Macaca fascicularis: one gene and its partners. The main gene of each other region encodes a partner of the protein of the gene in region 6 in a complex. Links are inferred from orthologs where the notes say so. Each region holds a gene or a part of one and is shown on either strand. Other genes may lie near its edges. The genes, in order: BCAS2, RBMX2, LSM7, EFTUD2, LSM5, SNRNP40 and PRPF6.

The links.
Region 1: SNRNP40 (region 6) and BCAS2 share a complex: the UniProt entries of both Homo sapiens proteins name them as parts of the postcatalytic spliceosome P complex. The link is inferred for Macaca fascicularis from reciprocal best matches to the Homo sapiens genes SNRNP40 and BCAS2.
Region 2: SNRNP40 (region 6) and RBMX2 share a complex: the UniProt entries of both Homo sapiens proteins name them as parts of the minor spliceosome. The link is inferred for Macaca fascicularis from reciprocal best matches to the Homo sapiens genes SNRNP40 and RBMX2.
Region 3: SNRNP40 (region 6) and LSM7 share a complex: the UniProt entries of both Homo sapiens proteins name them as parts of the U4/U6-U5 tri-snRNP complex. The link is inferred for Macaca fascicularis from reciprocal best matches to the Homo sapiens genes SNRNP40 and LSM7.
Region 4: SNRNP40 (region 6) and EFTUD2 share a complex: the UniProt entries of both Homo sapiens proteins name them as parts of the minor spliceosome. The link is inferred for Macaca fascicularis from reciprocal best matches to the Homo sapiens genes SNRNP40 and EFTUD2.
Region 5: SNRNP40 (region 6) and LSM5 share a complex: the UniProt entries of both Homo sapiens proteins name them as parts of the U4/U6-U5 tri-snRNP complex. The link is inferred for Macaca fascicularis from reciprocal best matches to the Homo sapiens genes SNRNP40 and LSM5.
Region 7: SNRNP40 (region 6) and PRPF6 share a complex: the UniProt entries of both Homo sapiens proteins name them as parts of the U4/U6-U5 tri-snRNP complex. The link is inferred for Macaca fascicularis from reciprocal best matches to the Homo sapiens genes SNRNP40 and PRPF6.

What each region holds. Positions count from the first base shown.
Region 1 is NC_088375.1:119,799,384-119,801,887, forward strand, and holds part of BCAS2 (pre-mRNA-splicing factor SPF27), read left to right. Parts: intron 1-1,200; coding exon 1,201-1,251; intron 1,252-2,199; coding exon 2,200-2,280; intron 2,281-2,504. UniProt on the Homo sapiens protein: Required for pre-mRNA splicing as component of the activated spliceosome. Component of the PRP19-CDC5L complex that forms an integral part of the spliceosome and is required for activating pre-mRNA splicing.
Region 2 is NC_088395.1:136,684,462-136,687,961, forward strand, and holds part of RBMX2 (RNA-binding motif protein, X-linked 2), read left to right. Parts: intron 1-522; coding exon 523-652; intron 653-2,643; coding exon 2,644-2,821; intron 2,822-3,500. UniProt on the Homo sapiens protein: Involved in pre-mRNA splicing as component of the activated spliceosome. As a component of the minor spliceosome, involved in the splicing of U12-type introns in pre-mRNAs.
Region 3 is NC_088393.1:2,988,140-2,992,277, reverse strand, and holds the start of LSM7 (U6 snRNA-associated Sm-like protein LSm7), read left to right. Parts: upstream 1-1,338; 5' UTR 1,339-1,370; coding exon 1,371-1,376; intron 1,377-1,459; coding exon 1,460-1,550; intron 1,551-4,138. Other genes in the region: SPPL2B (signal peptide peptidase-like 2B), read right to left, coding at 1,153-1,218. UniProt on the Homo sapiens protein: Plays a role in pre-mRNA splicing as component of the U4/U6-U5 tri-snRNP complex that is involved in spliceosome assembly, and as component of the precatalytic spliceosome (spliceosome B complex).
Region 4 is NC_088390.1:65,948,244-65,951,743, reverse strand, and holds part of EFTUD2 (116 kDa U5 small nuclear ribonucleoprotein component), read left to right. Parts: intron 1-1,608; 5' UTR 1,609-1,612; coding exon 1,613-1,717; intron 1,718-3,500. UniProt on the Homo sapiens protein: Required for pre-mRNA splicing as component of the spliceosome, including pre-catalytic, catalytic and post-catalytic spliceosomal complexes. Component of the U5 snRNP and the U4/U6-U5 tri-snRNP complex, a building block of the spliceosome.
Region 5 is NC_088377.1:97,812,501-97,816,614, forward strand, and holds the start of LSM5 (U6 snRNA-associated Sm-like protein LSm5), read left to right. Parts: upstream 1-1,314; 5' UTR 1,315-1,483; coding exon 1,484-1,607; exon of another isoform or gene 1,608-1,616; intron 1,617-1,811; coding exon of another isoform or gene 1,812-1,904; exon of another isoform or gene 1,905-2,086; intron 2,087-2,110; exon of another isoform or gene 2,111-2,217; intron 2,218-4,114. Other genes in the region: late secretory pathway protein AVL9 homolog, read right to left, coding at 1,812-1,904. UniProt on the Homo sapiens protein: Plays a role in pre-mRNA splicing as component of the U4/U6-U5 tri-snRNP complex that is involved in spliceosome assembly, and as component of the precatalytic spliceosome (spliceosome B complex).
Region 6 is NC_088375.1:203,728,177-203,731,676, reverse strand, and holds part of SNRNP40 (U5 small nuclear ribonucleoprotein 40 kDa protein), read right to left. Parts: intron 1,045-3,500; coding exon 922-1,044; intron 1-921. UniProt on the Homo sapiens protein: Required for pre-mRNA splicing as component of the activated spliceosome. Component of the U5 small nuclear ribonucleoprotein (snRNP) complex and the U4/U6-U5 tri-snRNP complex, building blocks of the spliceosome.
Region 7 is NC_088384.1:120,167,027-120,170,526, forward strand, and holds part of PRPF6 (pre-mRNA-processing factor 6), read left to right. Parts: intron 1-494; coding exon 495-586; intron 587-1,624; coding exon 1,625-1,739; intron 1,740-3,500. UniProt on the Homo sapiens protein: Involved in pre-mRNA splicing as component of the U4/U6-U5 tri-snRNP complex, one of the building blocks of the spliceosome.

The DNA of each region.
Region 1 (2,504 bases), about 84 Mb from region 6:
TGTATTATTGAACTTTTCTCCTGTGCTAGTTACAGCTGACCTGGACTGGTATCTGTTTTTTATTTTGCTGCGAATAGGTTACATGCAAATATGGACTGATATCTCAAATCTACAACAGTTTTCTTTTTCTCACCTCTCTCTAGTTAGCAGTGGACAGGAGGAGAGAATGACAGGATAAATGTATATGAAGAAATACAGAGATAAAAGGGGGTTGAGAAATAATAAGTGGATATAATCAGATATATTCCATCTTCTCTGTGACAAGAAGTCATGACAGTTTAAGAAGTGACAAAAGACTGTGTGTGATGTCTCACGCATGTAATTCCAACACTTTGAAGGCCAAGGTAGGGAGACTGCTTGAGCCCAGGAGTTCAAGACCAGCCCAGACAACACGGTGAAACCCTGTCTCTACAAAAAAATAACAAAAATTAGCCGGGCATGGTGGCTTATGCCTGTAATCCGAACTACTTTGAAGGCCTGAAGTGGGAGGATCGATTGAGCCCAGGAGGTTGAGGCTGCCATGATTATGCAGCTACACTCCAGCTTGGGCAACAGTAGAGCAAGACTCTGTCCAAAAAAAAAAAAGCCAGGTGCAGTGGCTCACGCCTGTAATCCCAGCACTTTGGGAGACCGAGGTGGATGGATTGCTTGTGGTCAGGAGTTCAAGACCAGCCTGGCCAACGTAGTGAAACCCCATCTCTGCTAAAAAAAAAAAAAAAAAAATACAAAAATTAGCAAGGCATGGCAGTGCACGCCTGTAATCCCAGCTACTTGGGACGCTGAGGCAGGAGAATTGCTTGAACCAGGAGGCAGAGGCTGCAGTGAGCTGAGATCACACTACTTCACTCCAGCCTGGGCAACAGAATGAGACTGTCTCATAAGAAAAGCAACCTAAGTACTCAAAGTATCAGGCAGGGCATGGTAATTCCAGCAGTTTGGGAAGCCAAGGTGGGAGGATTGCGGCTCCTCGGGAGGCTGAGGCAGGAGGATTACTTGATCTTGGGAGGTGAAGGCTGCAGTGAGCCATGATCACACCACTGCATTCCAGCATGGGTGATAGTACTTGATTATGGAGTGTCCAACATAGTTCTTGGCACAGAGCTCCAGAAATACGATTTTTAGCAAAAAAACTTGAAAAAGTTCACTTTTAATTGGTACTATTTTAATGTATTTAAATCTGATTTTCCTCTTTTCCTTCAGAAATCTAGTTCATATGATTGAACACGCACAGAAAGAACTTCAGAAATTAAGGTAAATTGTTTTTTCCTATTACAGAATGAACTTTAAGTGAACCTTTAATGAATAGAAAATAGGAGGAAAAAGAAAGCAATGAGACTGCAGCCAGGTGAAAGTAAACAATTGATCCACTCTCTTTGTTCAACATCTGGCACAGGGTTTGCCCTACCTAAGTAGACGAGTAGTAGGCCTGAGGTCTGAAAACATCTCTGCCACTTGTAGCTTGCAAGTCTGCAAACATGGAAAGACACTTTTAGAGGGGGAGAAAGTTGGAGAATAACACATATAATCTGATTTTTAAGACCGATTTCGGCCGGGCGCGGTGGCTCAAGCCTGTAATCCCAGCACTTTGGGAGGCCGAGACGGGTGGAACACGAGGTCAGGAGATCGAGACCATCCTGGCTAACACGGTGAAACCCCGTCTCTACTAAAAAATACAAAAAACTAGCCGGGCGAGATGACGAGCGCCTGTAGTCCCAGCTACTCGGGAGGCTGAGGCAGGAGAACGGCGTAAACCCGGGAGGCGGAGCTTGCAGTGAGCCGAGATCGCGCCACTGCACTCCAGCCTGGGTGACAGAGCCAGACTCCGTCTCAAAAAAAAAAAAAAAAAAAAAAAAAGACCGATTTCTACACACACATATAGGAAAGCCTGGAAGGACACCCAGCAAAAACTCAACAGGAGTTATCAGGAAAAAGGAGACATGCATGGGAAGAGGGACTTGAGACTTGTAATCTGTGTGTGCTCGTGTGTGTGTGTGTGTGTGTGTGTGATTTCTCACAATGAGCATGTTTTATGAAACTTGTAATCAAAAAATAATTAGAAGAACGGTAGTTTCTACAGTTAGCCTATAACTGTACATGATATTGTTCCCATGGGATTAAGATATTCTCTTGTGTTACAGAGTTTTCTGTTGATTTTTGGTCTTACATTAAAATGTCATTAGGTTGTATAATTTTTTACAGAAAACATATTCAAGATTTAAACTGGCAGAGAAAGAACATGCAGCTCACAGCTGGATCTAAATTGAGAGAAATGGAGTCAAAGTGAGTATCTATAATTCCATCATCTTTTAAATTGTTTAGCCCAGTCTAAGGTCGATTCAATAATATGATTCAAATAGCATTCATGTGGGATGCCATAGGTGTCAAAGAAAATGCTGTTTTCTGAATTCACCCTTCACTGTCTCTGCCTTTCTATAAGGTGTTAAAGAGAACTATAAACGAGAATTGAACCATTGGTGAAGGATCCTTTGCTAAATTGAACCATT
Region 2 (3,500 bases), on a different chromosome or scaffold from region 6:
TTGTAGTATTCAAAGATATCTATGTATCTAATAGTCCTACATTAATATTTGTTAGTATAATTATGTGTATTAATTCATCTGATTTTATTTTATTTCTGTCCACTTTATGCGTGATAAACTTCAAAGTGATGTGTTACATTCTCCCATAACTTTCTCTCTTAGTTTCTCTTTGCATTTCTAATAGCTTTTTTTAATTAAAATGTTTGATTTCTTAATTGACTCAGAGTTTTCCTGATGTATACCTTTATTGTGTATTTAGGCCTTTTTCAGTGTAAAATAATCTTAGTCTCATGTGATATTTTTATTTTGGCCTTGAATTAGTTTTTGCTCTGGATATTGCCACCCACTTTTAATTGGGTGTTCCTGTACTTGTCTGACTTTTTCTTTGCAACCTTTCTGTGTCATCCTGTTCTAGATGTATCTCTTGTACACACTATGTTATTTGAATTTTGTTTTATTACCTTATCTGCATGTTTTTGCCTTTTAAGTCAATAATGTCTTACTCTTTTATAAAATAAATAGATATGGCGAGATTGTTAACATTAATCTCGTGCGGGACAAGAAAACTGGGAAATCCAAAGGGTTCTGTTTCCTCTGCTATGAAGACCAGAGGAGCACAATTCTGGCCGTGGACAATTTTAATGGGATCAAGGTGAGTGTGCTTATTAAGCAGATTGGTTGGACTTTTTTCCCATGTATAGGTGTTTCTTTTTCTACCTGATTCCCACAGACACAAGGGCAGCACTTGTCAGCTTGGTTTGTTGCGGGGGCTGCAGAGATGTGGAGACGCTGGTCAAGAAGAGATTCCAGGAAATAATTCTGTTGGCTCGTGGCCCTGCAGTACTTGCTTCTTTTCCCCATCTGTAAACAAACCATCTCCCCAGGAGCATAGGCACCAGGCCTGCCTCTCATCCAGGCCTCTGTTTTTCACCTTTCTTTTTTTACTGTCTACTATCATTTCTGGTGCACTGGAGGATGAAGAGACTAGCAAACATTGCTCTTCCATATTGTCCTGTGTTGGGAGTTTTGGGCTTCAACATGGCCTCATAATCTAGGACATACCCATGTATGCCTGTCATGTATCTCCAGTGACCTAGCATATTGGGCTCTAGAAATTCTCTAGTTAAAATCCGATGACAGATTCTACAAAAGTAATTTCATCCTGAAATTTTCTCCCCCCAGATCCCTCTTATTTCCACTGTCGTAAGTGAGGCACTGAGTTCTTAGAAGGAGATAGGGCAAGTCAGGCGTATTGATGCTCCATGTGGTTGCTGCACTCATTTAGGAAAAAAGCTGCAGTTGAAATGAACAGTGTCACAGAGTTGGTGTGGGGAGGCTTGAGTTGGAGAGTTTGTCACTGATTCACGAGTATGGGATAGCTGGAGATTATAGAACAGAGTGGAACAAGGTTCTAGGCTTGATGTTTAAGGAAGCCAGCAGTCAGAGGGCGTCATTGTAAAAGGAAGGTTTTCCAAAGTGTTTCAAAATGGAGAAGAGGATACATAACAGAAGCCGCTCAGGCTTCAAGGTAAAAATAAAAATCTGCTCTTGTATTGGAACAATAAAAGCCAAACTTTAAATTTTGAATGGCTTTGCCTAGAGAGTAAGTCTGTATCTGCCTAAAAATAGAATGTTTTTATTTTAAGTGAGGTGTTAATTTTTTGGGGGGCGGGGGGAGGGGGACAGGGTCTCACTCTGTTGTCCTGGTTGGAGTGCAGTGGCGTGGCCTTGGATCACTGCAACCTCTGTCACCTGGGTTCCAGTGATTCTCCTGTCTCAGCCTCCTGAGTAGCTGGGATTATAGGTGTGCACCACCACACCCGGCAAATTTTTGCCATATTGGCCAGGCTGGTCTCGTACTCCTGACCTCAAGTGATCCACCCGTCTCGACCTCCCAGAGTGCTGGGATTACAGGTGTGAGCCACTGCGTCCGACCAGAGGGGTTAATTTTTTGTTGTTGTTCACCTGGAGAGTTGTGATTCGTAGTGCAAGAATCAGTGTGAGCCTATTGTTCCAGTATGGTGGGGCTAGAGCAAGGTGTGAGGGCTGAAGAAAAAAGCAAGTGCCTTTTTCTCGATTCCTTTCTCCCTCCAAACTGTTGGTCTGACTTTGCCTCCTAATTACTGGGTCGAGAAAGCAGTTGTAGCATTAAGCCAGATTTCAAGAATTCCTTCTAGTTGCCAGACCTTCCTAGGGTATGTTTCACTGTAAACTTAGGTTACAGATCAAGGGTAATTCATTATGCATCTAAATCTCAGTCTTCCCTGATGCTTGTGCTCTGAGGTAGTATTTCCTAGTCTTTTTCATTTTATGGCACATACAGAACATGAAGATATTTGCATGGTGCCCTGGAGTAAAGTGATGAGGCTGCTGGTACAATTGCCCCAGGCCTCACCTGGCTGCACTGAGAGGCTGCACTATATATTTTATAATAATAAAATTATATTAACTAAATATTAGTATAAATTAATATTTAGGTGTACATGCTATGACACACCAGTTGGGCAGGTCTGCTTTAGTGACAGAATTTAGCAAGAAGGTAAAGGATATAGTTCAAATCATGGTTCTCTGTAGCTTGTGTTCAAATAGTTGGCAGTTTGGTATGAGGGCCGTCTTCACTGAAGCGTTGCCTGTCTTGCTTAGATCAAAGGAAGAACTATCCGAGTGGATCATGTGTCTAACTATCGGGCTCCTAAGGACTCGGAAGAAATGGATGATGTGACCAGACAGCTCCAGGAGAAGGGCTGTGGGGCTCGTACCCCCTCACCAAGTTTGTCTGAGAGCTCTGAAGATGAAAAACCAACAAAAAAGCACAAAAAAGGTAAAGCATTAAGACCTAAGAGAAGATTCTGGATGGCCTTAATGTCTGCTCTTCCTTGCATTCATTGATAGTTGAGAATCAACTCAAGTGTGAAAGGGGAAGGTATGGGGAAGCATAGTTTAACTGGGAAAGTGGGGAGTATCAGTGGAAGGCTGGTGCTATGGGCAGAATTGTCTCTCTCCCCAAGTTAATATGGTGAAATCCTAACCCCCAGTGCCTCAGAATGCCACTGCATTTGGAGATAAGGTCTTTGAAGAGGTAACTCAGGATGGGAATTACCTTGTACAGCAACTTGACATATCAAGGGTGACAGACATCCAAGTTGGCTTCTTGAGGCACTCTCCTTGGAGGCCTAGACAGTGGCCCCTTCATGTTGCTGCCAAGGTTGTTCTCTTTATGCACATTCCTCACCTCCTAGCATGTGAATTTTTTTTTTTTTTTGAGACAGAGTCTTGCTCTGTCGCCCAGACTGGAGTGTAGTGGCGCGATCTCAGCTCACTGCAAGCTCCACCTCCCGGGATCACGCCATTCTCCTGCCTCAGCCTCCTGAGCAGCTGGGACTAGAGGCACCCGCCACCACACCTGGCTAATTTTTTTGTATTTTTTTTTAGTAGAGATGGGGTTTCACCGTGTTAGCCAGGATGGTCTCGATCTCCTGACCTCGTGATCCACCCGTCTC
Region 3 (4,138 bases), on a different chromosome or scaffold from region 6:
CCCTCCAGCCTTGCAGAGACCACGGGCATTTCAGGGTAAGAGAAAAGACTAGACAACGAAGCTCCTGCAATGAGCTGCAGGCTTCCCTGGCGCCAGGTCACAACTGGACGGCACGTTCATCCAGATGCGACATGGACTGACATACTTTGAAAGGGTCACTCCTGCTGTGTCGAGGATGGACTAGGGATGTGGGGGACAAAGGCAGCCACAGCAGGGGGATGGCGGTGGGGCTGGAAGAGTGGAGACTAAGAAGGAGCCCAGTGGCAGCGACGCCTTAAGAGAACTCTGAGAGAGGAGTGAAGGTTAAGGGCCGCATTTGTGAGGCTGCTCCGGGTTCCATTCCCTGAGCCACCAAACTCAGGTAAGAGGTAAGATTTGGAATTAAGAAAATAAAAGATGCAGTTACGACAGTGCCATCTCGTAGACTGTCCCCGCTAGAACCTGACACTCTACATCAAAGGATACACAATGAATATAAGGAAGGCGTGCTGTCCCTAGGCGCTGGTCACCCTGGGTAGCATCTCCAGAATCCACACCATAGTCGACCCCCCTTCTCCAGACGAGCAACTGACGCTCAAAGCAGGGAATTCCCTCGTCCAAGGTCACGGAGTAAAAGATGGAGCGGGAATACGACCCCAGTGCAGGGCTGGGCTCTTGGCCGCTCCAGGATGCTGGCCAGTCACTGGGGGACACGCGGGACGCCTCTGGGTTCCCCCACCGCACCCCCTAGGGTGAGGTTAGCTTAGCACCGGGCCATTCCGCCTAAAGGGAAACTGAGGCTCGGAGCGGGGTGGGCGGCCGCCTGCCCAAGGCCACAGAGCGGGAGAGAGGCGTCCCCCGCGGCGGCTGGAGACCCCGAAACGGACAAGCAGAACAGGGAGATGGAGGGGGCACAAACTTCAGGCCCGGTGGGAAGTGAGGGGCGCTGCAGCGGCGGAGGGCCTCCGAGGCGGGGAAGGGAGAGAAGCCGGGGACAGCCCCGCAAGGTCACGGCCGGGCCCCGGCACCGCCGGCCGACAACGAGGGGACCGCGGATCCCCGAGGCTGGACCCCCAAGACGGGCCAAGAGGGGTCGTTCCTGCGCGTAGCCTCGGGGCCGAGAGGCCGAAGGGCCGCAGCCTGCGGTGCCGTCGGGACCGGTGCCGCGCTCACCTGGGCCGCGAGGAGCAGAAAGGCCGCCACAAGCCGCGCCAGCGCAGCCGCCGCCACCGCCGCCATCTCGGCCGGTGCCCGCCGCAACCGTCGGCAGATGTTTCCCAGCAACGCCCCGAGACCCCGGGCCACGCATGCGCCGCGCATGCGCGTGGGGGGGAGGGGAGAGGTCACAGGGCACGGGGCGGTGTCTGCGAAGAGCCTCACGGCGCGACAAGATGGCGGTGAGCGCGCGGCAGAATCCGGAGCCGGGGGGCGTGGGGCTCGGGCCGCGCTCCAGGCCTCATGCGCTCTGCTTTCCCCGCAGGATAAGGAGAAGAAGAAAAAGGAGAGCATCTTGGACTTGTCCAAGTACATCGACAAGACGATCCGGGTGAAGTTTCAGGGAGGACGCGAAGGTGAGGCGGCTCCCGCCGTTGGCACCCCCCCTTTAAAATTTTAAAATAAAGTCAGCAACAGAGGTGATGAGGATGCATGCAGAGGCGCCTCTTTTATTTATTTTTATTTATGTATTTATTTTGAGACGCAGTCTCGCTCCGTCGCCCAGTCTGGAGTGCAAGTGGTGCGATCTCAGCTCACTGCAACCTCCGCCTCCCGGGTTCAAGCGATTCTCCTGCCTCAGCCTCCTGCGTGGCTGGGGCTACAGGCGCCACCACTCCTGGCTAATTTTTGTATTTCTAGTAGAGACGGGGTTTCACCATGTTGGCCAGGCTGGTCTCAAGCTTCTGACCTCAAGTGATTCGCCCGTCTCGGCCTCCCAAAGTGCTGGGATGACAGGCGTGAGCCGCCGCAGAGGCGCCTCTTTACACGCTTGACGCCGACTACCTTGTGCAGGCTTCCGAATTACGCCGGGAGGTAGGAACTGGTATGGCCATGTTGCAGGCGGGGAAACTGGGGCAAGGAGCGGGAAACAAACGTAATCCAAAGTCACAGTGGCGCAGCCGGTATTGGGATTTCCGGCTTGGCCTCCAGAGCAGTCCTGTGTGTCCAAGGACTGCCCCAGATCCCCACAGATCTCCCGGCTTCTCCTCTTCCTCCCTCTAAGTCAAGGTCTTTCCCGCACAGCAGTGTGGACACATTTGGGGCCGGATTCTCTGGAGTGGGGCCGTCCTGGGGCACTGCAGGGTGCTGAGCAGCATCCCTGGCCTCCACCAAGTTGTGACAACCTAAATAGCCTCAGACATTGCTTAGTGTTCTCTGGGGATAGGATCGCCCCCCGACCCCCAAGCTGTGATTGGGAATCACAGCTACTAAGGTCAGTCTCCACTCAGCGGCCAGAGGCACCTAATGAAAAAGAAATGGAGGCTTCTTGCTCCCTGCTGAAAACCTCTGAGGCTCCCGGTTGTTTTGGAGTAAAATCCGAATCCATACTTCTGATTATGACTGCAAAGGGCGGCAGAAGCACAAGTTCCACAGGTGCTTGCTCTGGGAAGCCCTCCCTGACCCTGGCGTCAGGCCCCCCATCGTTCTAGGATCCTGGTAGCACCTGTCACCGTTTGCGGTTTCGTGCATGTTAACCTGATGCTTGCCTCTGCCTGCAACTCTTCCATGGAATCTAGTGAAGACAGGGCGAGCTCTCAGAGGGCAGGAAGCATTCGCATGGGCAGTGGGCTGGTGATGCATGCTGCAGCTCTTGGCGGGACGCAGGGACTCACGCCTGTAACCCCAGCACTTTGGGAGGCTGAGGCAGGCGGATCATATGATCAGGAGATCGAGACCAGCCTGACCAACATGGGGTTTCGTGAAACCCCATCTCTACGAAAAATACAAAAAAATTAGCTGGGCGTGGTGGTGCACACCTGTAATCCCAACAACTCAGGAGGCTGAGGCAGGAGAATCTCTTGAACCCAGGAGGCAGAGGTTGCAGTGAGCTGAGATCGCGCCACTGCACTCCAGTCTGGGAGACAGAGCGAGACTCCGTCTAAAAATAAATAAATCACACACACGCACACACACAGCAGAGAAAGGGTTTGCTCCCTGAAGGACTCACCTGATATGGTCAGGCTCACCCAGGGTGTTTCCCTCTAGATTGGCTCAAAGTCAGCTGGTTCAGGGGCTTAAACAGCTGCATAACCTAAGTGCAGGAGTGACGTCATGTCCCCTCAGAGTCACAGGCCCGAGCCCACACCCCGGGGAGGGGAACCTTGGTTAGAGACCTACCTACCTCAGTGCTCACATCTGTCCCTGTGAGGAGGGCTGGCTCACTGGTCAGGCTGGTGCCAAGGACCTGAACCGTTGCGTCTGACCCCATCTCATAGGTGACAGGTTTCATTTTGCAGGGGAGGGACTTGAGCGCAGAGAGAGGGAGCCGTGGAGGTAGGAGCTAAAGCCTGTATGCAGGTGGGCAGACCTTCTCTGTAGAAGGCCAGACAGCAAATATCTTCAGCTTTGCAGCCCAGATGGTCTCTTGTCACAACCAGTGAGCTATGCCCGCAGAGCAGGAGAGCCGCCCTGGTCAGTGCCTGAGCGGGCGAGTGTGCTGGTGGGCCAGTGAAACTTTGGCATACAGAGATGAGCGGTGGGCCACTTTCGCCTCTGGTCGTAGTTCGCAGCGCAGAACGGCCATGGACAGGCTCACAGCCCTGCCTTGGGAGAAGATAGGCGGGCAGAATAATGCCTGGGGTGCCTGCTTCCTGAGATTGGTGGGGGGCATGCAGAGGGCAGCACCCTAAGGGGTGTGGGTTGGTGTCTGGAGGAAGCACCTGAAAGATGACAGGGGTAAGAAGGAGGGTAGGGAGCGGGTGGCTGAGGGACGCCCCTCAGTGAGCGCAGAGGCGGAACCGCTCCTGGGCCTGGGCTGGAGGAGCCTGGGGGGAGAGGACGGGAGTCCCGGACAGGGAGGGTGGGCTGGCCTCTGCTGAGGACACACAGCTCCCCCTTCATCCTTCTCAGTGTCACCAGACACTGCGGAGCAGGATCAGATGGCAGAGGTCACCACCGGGTCAGAGAGCCCTAACCCAAGGTGCCAAGTTGTGACCTAAGGCGG
Region 4 (3,500 bases), on a different chromosome or scaffold from region 6:
AAACATCACCTTAATGAAGTGATCAAAGTTAACGTTACCACCAATGAGGCAAATTGAAATCATGTATCACCTGATAGGAAATGCTTTGAGAACCACAGTTCTCACATGTTCTCACAGCATCACTTCTATGATATTCCTGCCTAAAACACATAACCTGAATATTATCATAAGGTAACATCAGACAACCTCAAATCAAGGGACATCCTTAAGGATGTCACGACAGTCCTTGGAAGGAAAGACTGAAGATTGTAAATCCAAAGAGACCAAAGACATGACAACCAAATGCAAACATGATCCTGGATTGGATCCTTGGGCGTGTAAGATATCATTGGAACAATCTGTGAAACGTATTGGAACAATCTGTGAAACCTGAATGGGATCTGTAAATTAGGTGGTAGTAATGTGTGAATATTAATTTTCTGATTTTGATGGTTGTGTTGTGGTTATGTAGAAGAATGTTCCTGTTTGTAGGAATCACACAAGGTGAGGGAGAGGTTGGCAAACTTTTTCTGTTAAGGACTGGATAGTATTTTAGGCTTTGTGAGCCATATGGTTTCAGTCCCAACTACTCAACTCTGCTATTACAGTGTAAAGGCAACTGTAGATGATGTAAATGAATATGCATGGCTGTTTTCCAGTGAACCTTTTTTTTTTTTTTTTTTTTTTTGAGATGGAGTCTCGTTTTGTCTCCCAGGCTGGAGTGCAGTGGTGCCACCTCAGCTCACTGCAACGTCCACCCCCTGGGTTCAAGGGATTCTCCTACATCAGCCTCCTGAGTAGCTGGGATTACAGGCATATGCCACCATACCTAGCTAATTTTTGTATTTTTAGTAGAGACAGGGTTTTGCCATGTTGACCAGGCTGGTCTCGAACTCCTGACCTCAGGTGATCTGCCCGCCTTGGCCTCCCAAAGTGCTGGGATTACAGGTGTGAGCCACTGCGCCAGGCCTCCCAATGAAATTTTTTAAGTAGACACAGACATTTGAATTCCTTATAATTAATTTTCATGTATTGTGAAATATTTTTCTTTTGACAATTTAAAAATGTTGAAAAGCATTCTTAGCTAGAGGGCCATGCAGAAACAGCTGGAGAGGCCAGATTTGGCCACAGGCCAGAGTTTGCACACCCTTACACTAAAGTATTAGGAGGTGATGAGCCACTGTGTCAACAGCTCACTTTCAAATAATTTAGGAAAAAGTAAGTTGTTTGTACTATTCTTGCCACTTTTTGACATTGAGTTATTTTAAAATTAAATTTGGTATTAAAGAAGTGGAGGAAGGGGACCTCCTCTTTTGGCTTTGGAGCACCCCGCCCCATCTCTGTAGTGGGGAGCTTCTTCCTTCTGTCTTCTTTCCTTCTTGCCTATTAAACTCTGCTTGAAACAAACAAAAAAAAAAAAGTGGAGGGAAGACTACATAAATAGAGACAAGTAGGGCAGAGACTTGGGTAAAGTACTGGTCTTTGGGAGGAGCCTTCAGTAGATTGATGTCACTGGGAGGAGGCATGTTCTGAAAGGGGTATGGCCAACTATAAGACTAGGTAGGTGGGGCCACCACATGGAGGCCATGATTACTTTGCCAGAATCTAACTCCTTTCCTTGAATTTTAGCATCATGGACACCGACTTATATGATGAGTTTGGGAATTATATTGGACCAGAGCTTGATTCTGATGAAGATGACGATGAATTGGGTAGAGAGACCAAAGATCTTGATGAGGTAAAGCAAATATATTGCTCTTTTCATCTCGCTCTTACTTATTTTTATTTAAGACAAGGTCTCACTCTGTTGCCAGGCTTGAGTGCAGTGGCGCAATCTCAGCTCACTGCAACCTCCACCTCCTGGGCTTAAGTGATTCTCCCATCTTGGCCTCCCAAATAACTGGGACTACAGGCATGCATCACCATGCCCAGCTAATTTTTTTTATTTTTCATAGAGACAAAATGTTGCCCAGGCTGGTCTCGAACTCCTGAGCTCAAGAATCCACCCGCCTTGGCCTCCCAAAGTGCTGGGATTACAGGCATGAGCCACCATGCCCAGCCCCCTCTTTTCTTTTCTCTCTCTCTTTTTTTTTTTTTGAGACAGCCTCACCCTGTTGCCCAGGCAGGAGCACAGTGGCACCATCTTGGCTCACTGCAGCCTCTGCCTCCCAGATCCAAGCGATTCTCATGCCTCCGCCTCCTAAGTAGCTGGGATTACAGGTGTGTGCCACCATGCCTGGCTAATGTTTTTTGTATTTTTAGTAGAGACGGGGTTTCACTATGTTGTCCAGGCTGGTCTTGAACTCCTGACTTCAAGCAATCCACATGCCTTGGCCTCCCAAAGTGTTGGGATTACAGGTGTGAGCCACCGCGCCTGGACAGATTTATTTTTTTTTAATTATATTGAGGTATATAACAGAGATGCATAGATTTTGGTAATGGAGACAGAAAAGAAAGATGTCCATTCTAAGACTGGGCTCATTGGCTCATGTCTGTAATCCCAGCACTTTGGGAGGCTGAGGTGGGCGGATGACCTGAGGTCAAGAGTTTGAGACCAGTCTGGCCAACATGATGAAACCCAATCTCTATTAAAAATACAAAAATTGGCCGGGTGCGGTGGCTCAAGCCTGTAATCCCAGCACTTTGGGAGGCCGAGACGGGTGGATCACGAGGTCAAGAGATCGAGACCATCCTGGCTAACACGGTGAAACCCCGTCTCTACTAAAAAATACAAAAAACCAGCCGAGCGAGGTGGCGGGCGCCTGTAGTCCCAGCTACTCGGGAGGCTGAGGCAGGAGAATGGCGTGAACCCAGGAGGCGGAGCTTGCAGTGAGCTGAGATCCGGCCACTGCAGTCCAGCCTGGGAGACAGAGCGAGACTCCGTCTCAAAAAAAAAAAAAAAAAAAAAAACACACAAAAATTAGCTGGGCATGGTGGCATACACCTGTAGCCCCAGCTACTCCGGAGCCTAAGGCAGGAGAATCTCTTGAACCCAGGAGGTAGAGATTGCAGTGAAACTCCATCTCAAAAAAATTAAAAAAATTAAAAATTTTAAAAAACAATGATAAAAGAATACTGGTTTATACTGGTTTAGTTTTATTTTAGACTTGTTGAGCTACTGTAGACTCGGTAGAGGTAATTACAGGCAGTCAGAAATGATTATATAAAATCCTGCAGTTAGATTCATAATATATTCAGCAGTATGGGGCAGTAGAAAACTGGCTTGATAGCTATTTTGGAGCCACCACCAGTAAGATATATGTGGCTGCCAAAAGAGCTAATGTAATCTTAGGCCACTTTAGTAGAAGTAGAGTGTAAGATGGTAGGAGGTAGCCAGTCTTACCACTGGAGGGTTTTGTGTTCTTAAGGAAGAGGTTGGCATGCTGTAATTTGTGTGAAGGAAAACAAGCACCCAGCAGTCCCTCTACCCACCTGCCTACACCTGTACTCATATACGATGCCTTCCCTTCCATTCTTATGAATTATTTGTTCATGCTTCTGTCTACTAGAAACTAATCCCA
Region 5 (4,114 bases), on a different chromosome or scaffold from region 6:
AGTTAAAACCACGTGAAGTCAGAGTCACAACTCAATGAGCCACGCACCTCTAATCCTTTACACCTGGAAGTAAAATAGTAACGTGGAGAATTAGGTAGCTGATTAATCTATCCTGGGGCAAATCTTACATACTTTAATTAAAGCCTCTAAAAACACCTGATGTACAGGTTATAAAGAACAGATTCTAGACCAGTCATTATAAGACTTATGCACGTAATACACAATTTTCAAAACTTTTTTTTTTCGCTCTTGTTGCCCAGGCTGGAGTGCAAGGCTCACAGCAACCTCTGCCTCCCGGGTTCAAGCGATTCTCGTGTCTCAGCCTCCCAAGTAGCTGGGATTACAGGCATGTGCCACCACGTGCAACTAATTTTGTATTTTCAGTAGAGGCGGGGCTTTCACCATGTTGTCCAGGCTGGTCTCGAACTCCTGACCTCAGGTGATCCACTCGCCTCGGCCTCCCAAAGTGCTGGGATTACAGAATTGAGCCACCGCACCCGGCGCCAAAATTTTCTTTTGAGACAGGGTCTTGCTCTCTCATCCAGGCAGGAGTGCAGTGGTGGGATCAAGGGCCACTGTAGCCTCAGCCTCCTGGGCTCAAGAGATCTTCCCAACTTAGCCTCCCGACTAGCTGGGACTACAAGTGCGCTATCACATGCAGCTAATTTTTAAAATTTTTTGTGGAGACAGTTTCCCTTTGTTACCCAGGCTGGTCTCAAACTCCTGAGCTCAAGTGATCCTTTCATATCAGTCTCTAAAAGTGCTGCCATTACAGGTGTGAGGATATATTTCAAAATTACGCACAGTTTTTTCACTCCCATCACTTTTTCTGTTATTCCCTAGAGAACTTAATTTTTGCCAATACGTCTTCTAAAATGTTACATTTCCTGCGGAATGCAAGAAACTAAACGCTTCATGAGCTAGTGGTGGCCATTACTATTTTTAATACTTCAAAAAAGCATTTCAATTTACTGTTCACTAGCACATTATGACATCATTCCCTTCCAGTGTTTGCTTGCTCATTAGATAATCCTGTTTCTATTTTGTTCTCTTGCCTTCAATATACAGATCGCAAATATTCCATTTCAGATGATGGATTAAAGATTCAATGAGGCTGCTGAAAAACACCTTTATATTTGAACGGTTTGGTCGGTAATACGCTTTCTCTTATTGCGGTTGATCTGGAGAGATTAATCTCTCACCAAAAGGTAAAATCCGGAGAAGATGAAATAGCAAAACTAAGGACCAATGGGAAGGGGGAGGCAGGGTTAATCGACAACCGTACTTAACACGACAGATTCCAAGGCTTCCATCAGATAAACAAAGGAAGCTGATTTTTCTACAGAGGCTGCAGGTGCGCAAGCTACCTGAAGTATTAGTATGCAAGCCCACTGAGCCTATTACCTTGAAAGCAGAGTCCAAGCACTGAATTTTTCTAGACTCCCATTATAGGTGGACACCCAGAAAGCCAGTGGAGACAATAATGGACGGGGAAGAGAGTGGGGCCGGTCTTCGATTCCTTCCTCCCACTCCACCAAAGCAGAAGCTAAAATCCTACAACCTACACATACCAATCTGCGCCTCCGCCGCTCATAACCATTTTTCAGGTGCAAAAGGAAGGGGTTGTGGGGGCTGGGCTTCATGTGGGGCGGGTGGGAGGAGTTGCAAAGGAGTCAGGTTGAGAGGCGAAGGGTCGCGGGCGCGGTGGGGAGGACTGCACGACGCGAGCTGGGAACACAGAAGGAAGGCAGGGGGCGCCGGGAGGCGCGAACGCCCGAACGGCCGGGGGCGGGGGCGGGCCCTTTCCTCACCTGGCAGCCCTTCTTATGGTGAAAGCCAACAACCACGATGTGCAGTACGGGCCCCCGGGGGGCGCCATCCCCGCCTCTCCTGGCCTTCTCCATGGGCGGCCGCCGCGGGCCCACACTACGACTTCGACTGCCAAGGGCAGCGGGTCTGACGACCCCACCGTGTGCGGAGAGCCGCGGACTTCGGGTGTCAGCGAGCGCAGCACATGAGGGCCGCACCGGGAGATCTGTGGAGGGAGAGCAGCTCCCGCCCCCAGGGCCGCGGCCGCCCTTCTCTCATCCGCTTCCGCAGCTTCCGGGCTGTCACCTGACGCGGCGGCAGCTGCCGGCGAGGCGGGGCGGGGCAAGGCCGGGAGGGCCCTGACGGCTGGGGGTTCTGAGAGACCGAGGTGGAGCCTGGGGGAGTTAGGTGGGGCTAGGAAAAAAGCGATCGACTGGACGGGGGCGGGGGGTCGGGGGTTCGGGGGGTCGGGGGGGGGACCGGAGGGGGCCTTGACGTGGAGCAGCGGGGTGGGGCTTACGTGACCCGGGCGGCTGGGCCTGCGGAGCCTGTAGTGTCCGCGGGACCTGGAGGTGCGGCGTGGCACACCTGCTTTTTCCTCCCTGGATTCAATCTCAAAGCACTTCCTTCTCTTTTGCCTTCTCATTTTCCTCCTTAAAGTTTTCCCCCTTCCCTCTTCTTTTCTGTTTTCCTTGCTTTTTCACATCTTTTCGATTCACTCTCCGAGTGTCCGATTCCTTCACCTCCTTGCCTTTGCCTCTGTGGCCTCCGTCCTTATTCTCAAATATGTAATAACGTGGAGCATACTGGTGAGGTTGCGTATCTGTGTATTCAGCCTTTAAATTACTTGCTTACCCGAGAATTCTTGTTTGTTTGTTTCTAGAGCTTTTTTCCCCTTCATTTAAATATTATGTGTAGCAATCTGAGACGCATTTAAAACCTGAAACCGAATATCCTTGACAATAAAGGAAGTTTACTTGGATACCTGTAAAATGGTTATTCTAGTCCTGCGATTTTAAAAGAGTATTATTTTCATTCCATCTCTTTTTGGGTTTAGTACTCTGAGCCTATTACCTTGAAAGCAGAGTCCAAGCCTCTCAACCTGACTCCTTTGCAACTCCTCCCACCTGCCCCACATGAAGCCCAGCCCCCACAACCCCTTCCTTCTGCGCCTGAAAAATGGTTATGAGCAGCGGAGGAGCAGGTTGATATGTGTAGGTTGTAGGTTTTTAGCTTCTGCTTTGGTGGAGTGGGAGGAAGGAAGGTCAATACAAAATATATGGGTTCTGTTGTCACCAGGGTTTTTTAATTACTGACTGTACTGCAATTTTTTTTTTTTAAGCAGTGAATCATGTCAATTTAAAGTGCATTCTAGAAACACTAGCAGATTTAACAAGTCTTATCTACGACAGTTTTCAAATAACCTAAAGGATAGGAGTCTGCTTCAAGTAGAATTAGAGATTACTACAGTAACTATGATATTTTGCACTTCTGGTCTTGAAAAATAAGGAGCTCTGTTCTAATCTAAGCATAGCGGAGAAAAACAGTAGGCTTCCTAAATCAAATTTAGTTTCTGTGATTCAGTAGAACTGTTTTAATGCTAATACTGTAGACATTTTTCAAGATGTTGCTATACATTTCTGTATTACAAAATTATTGGCATTGGCTCAGAAAACTGTAAAACTATATTGCTCCCTGTATGCAGAATATATTAACTGTTTTCTTAATATATTAACTGTTTTGAGATGTCAACTGTGTGATGTGTTAACTATTAACATTTTCTTGATATAAACTGTCTTGGTATTTTCCACAATTAACATGGCTAAAATTACTGTCTAATGAACACCTTTTAAAGATATCTATAAGGGCCGGGCGTGGTGGCTCACGCCTGTAATCACAGCACTTTGGGAGACCAAGGCAGGTGGATCACCTGAGGTCAGGAGTTCTAGACCAGCCTGGCCAACATGGTAAAACTCCATCTCTACTAAAAAATACAAAAATTAGCCGGGCGTGGTGGCAGGCACCTGTAATCCCAGCTACTCAGAGGGCTGAGACAGGAGAATTGCTTGAACCTGGGAAGCGGAGGTTGCAGTGAGCCAAGATTGCGCCATTGCACTCCAGCCTGGGGGACAAGAGCGAGACTTCCTCTCAAAAAAAAAAAAAAAAAAAAAAAGATGTATGCAAAAACAGGGCCAGGCACGGTGGCTCATGCCTGTAATCCCAGTACTTTGGGAGGCCGAGGCGGGCAGATCACTTGAGGCCAAAAGTTGGAGACCAGCCTGGGCAACATGGTTGAAACCCCATC
Region 6 (3,500 bases):
CCGCACCTGGCCAAAAGCAAGGATATTTCATCCAAAGTAACAGCAAAGGAAACAACGAGGGATGGAAATACAGTACAACTTCTAGGAAAGGACAACACAGAAAGTTGAGTATTTATCTGACAGTTACTATTCTCACTATAAAGCAGAAGGTAAGGTCAAAGTCGTTAAGATCCCCAAGGAAGCCAATAGGAAAGGAAGACAGAAGCCGTGCAGGACCAAAATAACACATTTCCTGGCACTTGTTATGTCCAGGAATTCTGCTAAGTGCTCTAATCAGGCTCATTTAATCGCTACAATGGTATGTGGTAGATGCCATGTGGTAGTTTTTGTTATCACTACCCCCTCAGCATTCACACAAGAAAAAGAGGCTTAAAGAAGGTGTTGAAGTCACAAAACTAGAAAATGGTGAAACTGGGATTAGAACTCAAGTCAATTACTTGAAAGTTTGAGCTACACTGTACTGCCATATGGTCTATTGCCTCTTTAATATCATTACCTTCTCTCATTCTTAGAGAAACTTAGAAAACTCCCTTTCCATAGTGTCAAAAAGAAAAACACAGTGAGAGATGAGGATACAGAATCACAAACTGATTCACTGCTCCCATTAAACTAAGATGGTTAAAAAAAGATTCTGAATGTCTTTAAAAGGAAATGCACTCTTTATTTTTTACATAGTCCCCCTACAGAGACTTCACACTTCACATTAAGTGCCTGGTCCCTGACAGCATTTATAAGATCTGCAGTGCAACCTTTAATTTAGGAAGTCAATGAAGACAGGAGAAAAAGAAAATAAGTTCCAAATTACTATTTTCCTTTCAGTTGGTATTAAGTGCAAAGCTACCACAATTTCAGAAGTTTGAAAAAATTTGTTTCTAAGTGCAGATGGGTGAAATGGAAATATATCATAAACATCAAACATACCTTGATATCATTGTCTATTCCACCAGAAATAATCTGATCACTTGTGTCATTGAAGGTCACAGCTAACACCTGGTACGTGTTCTGAAATGTCTGGATGGCTGCTTTCTTCCGGATGTCCCAAAGCTGAAGCAAAGGACAACAGGGTCTATCATTAATATCATTCTAAGAAGTAACTGCACAGTACAAATATCCCTAAGTACAAGGACTTTGTGAACATGAACACATCTATAATTGGGATCCCATTTCACTAACTCCTGGATATCCTAATAACACACATGGTAAGCAGTGTCCTCAATTTTGCTAAGACATTTGAAGGCTGGTGAAACAAAACTTCAGTTATATTTTCAGACTTCTTTGTTAAAGTGAATAAACAGAGTTAAATCAACATACTCTTAGAATGGAATTCCACTAATTACTTGGTTCATATATTTTTTAGGACAACAAGGATATCAGACAATTTTTTCAAACTGTAGATACTAATTCATTAGTGGGCTGCAACCCACATTTAAAAAAATAGAGAGCGGGTACGTCAGTGAAAATAGTATAATAAACAATGACAAAAGCTTGTCCTTCCACAAAACAACAAATGAACCAGCAAAAACCTGTCAGAATCAACTGTCGGAACTCTCATAACTAATCAAAAGTTTATAGTAACCAGGCAAACCCTTAATGAGGAAAAAGGAAACAAAAAAACCCCTGAGTCCCAGTAAAAGGGTTTTGTAGTGTTTTAACTTGTGCTGGCTCTGTCTCCCGCTCAGCAACAGCTTTGAAGATAACCCATATTCCCAGTATGGTTTCCTAGTACTGAGGAAGCAAAGGGGGGCCTATTTCTTATTGTCAAAGAATAAACAATAAAAATTGTTTATTTTTACTTGTCTGGTGGCTCCCTGAAGGATAAGCTCAAAGGACTTACATTTATTTATTTATTTATTTATTTTTTTGAGACGGAGTCTTTGCTCTGTCGCCCAGGCTGGAGTGCAGTGGCGCCAACTCGGCTCACTACAAGCTCCGCCTCCTGGGTTTACGCCATTCTCCTGCCTCAGCCTCCCGAGTAGCTGGGACTACAGGCACCCGCCACCTCGCCCGGCTGGTTTTTTGTACTTTTAGTAGAGACGGGGTTTCACCGTGTTAGCCAAGATGGTCTCGATCTCCAGACCTCGTGATCCGCCTGTCTCGGCCTCCCAAAGTGCTGGGATTACAGGCGTGAGCCACCGCGCCCGGCCAGGACTTACATTTATTTTGTCTAACTTGGAACTTTCCTTGAAAACATTTAGGCCGGGCGCGGTGGCTCAAGCCTGTAATCCCAGCACTTTGGGAGGCCGAGACGGGCGGATCACGAGGTCAGGAGATCGAGACCATCCTGACTAACACGGTGAAACCCCATCTCTACTAAAAAATACAAAAAAAAAAAAAAAAAAAAAAAACTAGCCGGGCGAGGTGGCGGGCGCCTGTAGTCCCAGCTACTCGGGAGGCTGAGGCAGGAGAATGGCGGGAACCCGGGAGGCGGAGCTTGCAGTGAGCTGAGATCCGGCCACAGCACTCCAGCCTGGGTGACAGAGCAAGACTCCGTCTCAAAAAAAAAAAAAAAAAAAAAAAAAAAAAAAGAAAACATTTAAAGGAAAGGATATTATTAGCCTCTGGTGCCTGGGGGCAAGGAAAAACAGTTGGGGCAAAAATACAAACCAAAAACCTTGGGAGGAAGGGCTGGGGAAGGAGACAATTTGGGGAGTAAGAGTTTTGAAAAGCACTGACATATTCCTGGCTATCTATCTTATCTATCTATCTTATCTTATCTATCTATCTATCTATCTATCTATCTATCTATCTATCTATCTATCTACCTACCTACCTACCTACCTACCTACCTACCTACCTACCTACCTATCTATCTATCTATCTACCTACCTACCTACCTACCTACAGAGTCTCCCTCTGTCACCCAGGCCGGAGTGCAGTGGTGCGATCTCGGCTCACTGCAACCTCCACCTCACAGGCTCAAGCAATTCTCCTGTCTCAGCCTCCCGAGTAGGTGGGATTATAGGCGCGTGCCACTATACCCAGCTAATTTTTGTATTTTTAGTAGAGACAGGGTTTCGCCATGTTGACCAGGCTGGTCTCACACTCCTGGCCTCAAGTGATCTGTCTGCCTCGCCCTCCCAAAGTGCTAAGATTACAGGCATGAGCCACCATGCCTGGCCCATCCCTGGCAATCTAGACCACTTGCATGTCCAGGGCTGGGCACATACTTAGAAAAGATCTGAGAAGGCCATAAGCTCTCTGGTTGACCTTCAGGCTCTGCACAAGCAGGAAGTGAAAGCTAAGGAGAGATGTAAACTGCACAGCAAGGAGTTGAAGGCAGGCTCCAACATACCAAAAGACAATCTGCAAAGACTGGGAGAGCTTTTGTTCTTGTTGTTGTAGGTAATTTAGGAAACTTCTGTCATTCACTAGCTGACCACTAAGCTAACAAAAAAAAAGAATTCAGTGGTAACACAGGACAAAGAATACAAACTTTACAAAATTAGTTCAAAAATTCACTAAACAGGCCAGGTGTGACAGCTCACACCTGTAATCCCAGC
Region 7 (3,500 bases), on a different chromosome or scaffold from region 6:
GGGAGAGGGAGGGGTTGACGATGGCTGGGACGAGGGAAGGATGGACCCCGGAGAGCTGACTCCACAGAGGAGGTGGCGTGGAGGGCCCTGGAGGTGGGTAGGAGTCTGCGAGGTGCAGGCTCTGTTCATGGAGGTGCTGCATCCAGCTCAGGGTGACGGGGCTGGAGTACTGCACTCTGCAGACAGGCAGCTCCTGGGGGCCTTGTGCGGCCCTGGCTCTCCCAGGCTGGTCTTGCTTGTGCTGGATGCCTTCACCTGCATCTGGACAGCGTCAGTTTCTGAGGTGTTGCCCTTGGGGCGGTTGCCAGTGGGGCTGGCAGGGATGTGGGCGGCAGTGCCTTGCTTCTGTGGTGGGTGAGCTGTGCTGTGCAGGGAATGGAGTTCTTGCTGCTGTGACTGGGTGGGGAGCCTTTTCAGACAAGGCTTCCCAGAAGCTTCCAGAATATGCGCCATTGGTAGATGGCTGTGGGACCTCCTGGGGCCTGTCTCCTCAGGCTGGAGTCCGTGCGGCTGGAGTACCGTGCAGGGCTGAAGAACATCGCAAATACGCTCATGGCCAAGGCGCTGCAGGAGTGCCCTAACTCTGGTAAGGGGGTGCTTTCTGGCTTCCCAGACTCAACAGGGCTGGCGCTTCCTCAGGGAGTGGGGACTCAGGCTTCCGACAGACTTTATTAAAATGTTTTGTTTGTGTGAATGATTTCAGTCAAAAGTTTCAGCTATACTTGGCCATTAAGACATTTTAATGAAATTCCTGGCCTCAAAATGGGAGAATTTGATTTCATGTTCTGAAGTGTTATCATTTCTTTTTCTTTTAAAATTAAAAGAAATTGGCCAGGTGTGGTGGCTCACGCCTGTAATCTCAGCATTTTGGGAGGCTGAGGCGGGAGGATCGCTTGAGTCCAGGAGTCCGTCGCTTGAGACCAGCCTGGGCAACATAGTGAAACCCCGTCTCTATAAAAAATACAGAAAGTAGCCAGGCACAGTGGCACGTGCCTGTAATCCTAGCTACTTGGGAGACTGAGGCACGAGAATCACTTGAACCTGGGAAACAGAGGGTGCAGTGAGCCGAGATCCCACCACTGCCCTCCAGCCTGGACCACAGGAGTGAAACCCTGTCTCAAAAAACAAACAAATCCGTCAGGAGCGGTGGCTCACGCCTGTCATCCCAGCACTTTGGGAGGCCGAGGCGGGTGGATCACCTGAGGTCAGGAGTTTGAGACCAGCCTGGCCAACATGGTGAAACCCCGTCTCTACTACGATACACAAATGAGCTGGGCATGGTGGCGCACGCCTGTAATTCCAGCTACTTGGGAGACTGAGGCAGGAGAATTGCTTGAGCCTGGGAGTGGGAGGTTGCAGTGAGCCAAGATCGCGCCATTGCACTCCAGCCTGAACGACAGAGTGAAACTCTGCAGAGTGTCCTGTCTGTGCCCTTGGGGCTGCCATGGTTTTGGGTGGGCCAGAACACTCATCCTTCGTGGTTCTTGCACAAGTTCTGCAAGCAGTGTGTGGGAGGCCCCGTCACCGTCTGAGGACGTCCTGGGTTAGAATCTCTGTAGGCTGGGCACCTTTCCGGAACCAGAGGCTGGAGTGCAGATCTTTGTTCTTTGTTTCTGAATTGCAGGTATCCTGTGGTCTGAGGCCATCTTCCTCGAGGCGAGGCCCCAGAGGAGGACCAAGAGCGTGGATGCCCTGAAGAAGTGTGAGCATGACCCTCATGTGCTCCTGGCCGTGGCCAAGTGAGTGAGGCGTCCCCACAGGATTGCTGACCCTTGGGGTCCTCATGGGCTCTTTTTCCAGTCTGTCTGCCTCTCCCTGGTCATTGTAAAGATGCCCGGCGGCAGGGTGCGCTCCCCCGATCCTCGGCTGCTGTCACTCCTGCTGTGGTCCGGGGCAGGCGCCTCTCCCGGCAGAGACAAACCTGAGGGTGCTGCAGCATTGTGGGCTTCTGTCCCAAAGCCCTGGGGAGGGACAGCCAGTCTCTCTCTCTCTCTCTCTCTTTTTTCTGTTTCTCTCTCCTTCCCTCCCTCCCCAGGGATCCCCTGGGTGTGGTTCAGCCCTTCCTCTGTTCCGGCTTCTTCTAGGAGGCTGCTCTCTTCGTCTCTGCAGTTTTTTAGTTTACACCTACACAGGCCTGGGTTACAGGATAGATTTGCTGATGTTGGTTCACACAGAATTTTAAGTGGTAAGCGAAGCCCCTTTGGACAAGAGGCTTTATGTTGGGGCAAGAAATCACTTGCAGCTCTGTGGCCCGTAAATAATCCAGAGCTGGAGACTGGAGCCTAATTTGTGTGCCCAGGGGTGCCACGATGACTGCTGGAGGCTGTCTCAGAAGACGTGGTGTGAAGGGGAGGCAGAGATCCGTGAGTGACCTCACACCATGTGATTCACACTCGGGTGTGCTGGCCGCTGGGTCAGAGACTCGCTGGGGACATGACTCTGAAACCTCGCAGGCAGCTGCTTGGAGCCGTGGGGCAGAGCGTGCAGATTCTAGGCACATGTGGGCAAAGGCCTGCCACGTGCGGGGCACAGCAGGGAGCTCGGGGCCATCCCCAACCCACAGGGTCTCTGTTTCCTTCTAGAAAGAGGATGACAGTCTGAGAAGGAGCTGGGCCTGAGTGTGCATCAGGAGGCTGGGAAGTGACCATGTAGGGGTGAAGGGAGTTCTTAGAAGAACCCTGGACTCCTGAGGCTGCAGCTCAGGACATGGGCTCACCTGGCGGAGGTGGTGTGTCTGACCCCAGCGGCGAGGGGCCTCACCTTACGTGCCCGGCTTCCCCTTCACCTGCCCTGCCATGGGTCATGCAGAGACAACAGCCTTCCTAGTGCTGGCTCTTGATTCTCTCCATCCCTTCTCCCCAGCACTGGGTGGCAGTGGTGCTTGGTCTCCAGAGGTCTGGGTGCTGCCCCCGTAGGCCTGCCTGTAGGGGCACCTCCTCTCCCCTGCCCGCGGGCCCCTGACAGATGAGAGAGGCTCCCCACAGGGTGGCTTGTGTCTGCCTGGTGCTCCCTTGGTCCTCCCCTGTGCGTCCACCTCCCAGAGTGACTTCTGGGTGACACTCTGATAGTGCAGCCATAAAACCTTATAAAAGGCTTTGCTAAAGTAAATAAGTCACTCCTTGCTATTCCCAAGCCAGTGTTTTGTGTGCCTGCTATCTGGGTTTGTGCTCCTTAAATCACAGTTTATCTAACACTGGGCAATTAAGAATACCACAAGGCTTAAAAAACAATCAGGTTATCAGAGTGTGAAATTATTCCGTTTGGCAACTGAGACGAACCCAAACAGCTGCCTGGAGTGGAGGGTTCCTCGTGTCGTCTCTTGACTGCAGTGCCTCTGGCTCTAGGGGGAGGTGACCCCGAGGAGAGGGTGGGAAGGGTGGCAGCAACGCAGAGTCCCAGGCCTGCCAGCGTGCCCAGCAGCAGTGCCCGCCATCCTTTCTCCAGCAGTTTGGGGGGGTGCCATGCACACCCCCAACCTGGCCTCTGATAGTCCAGCATGG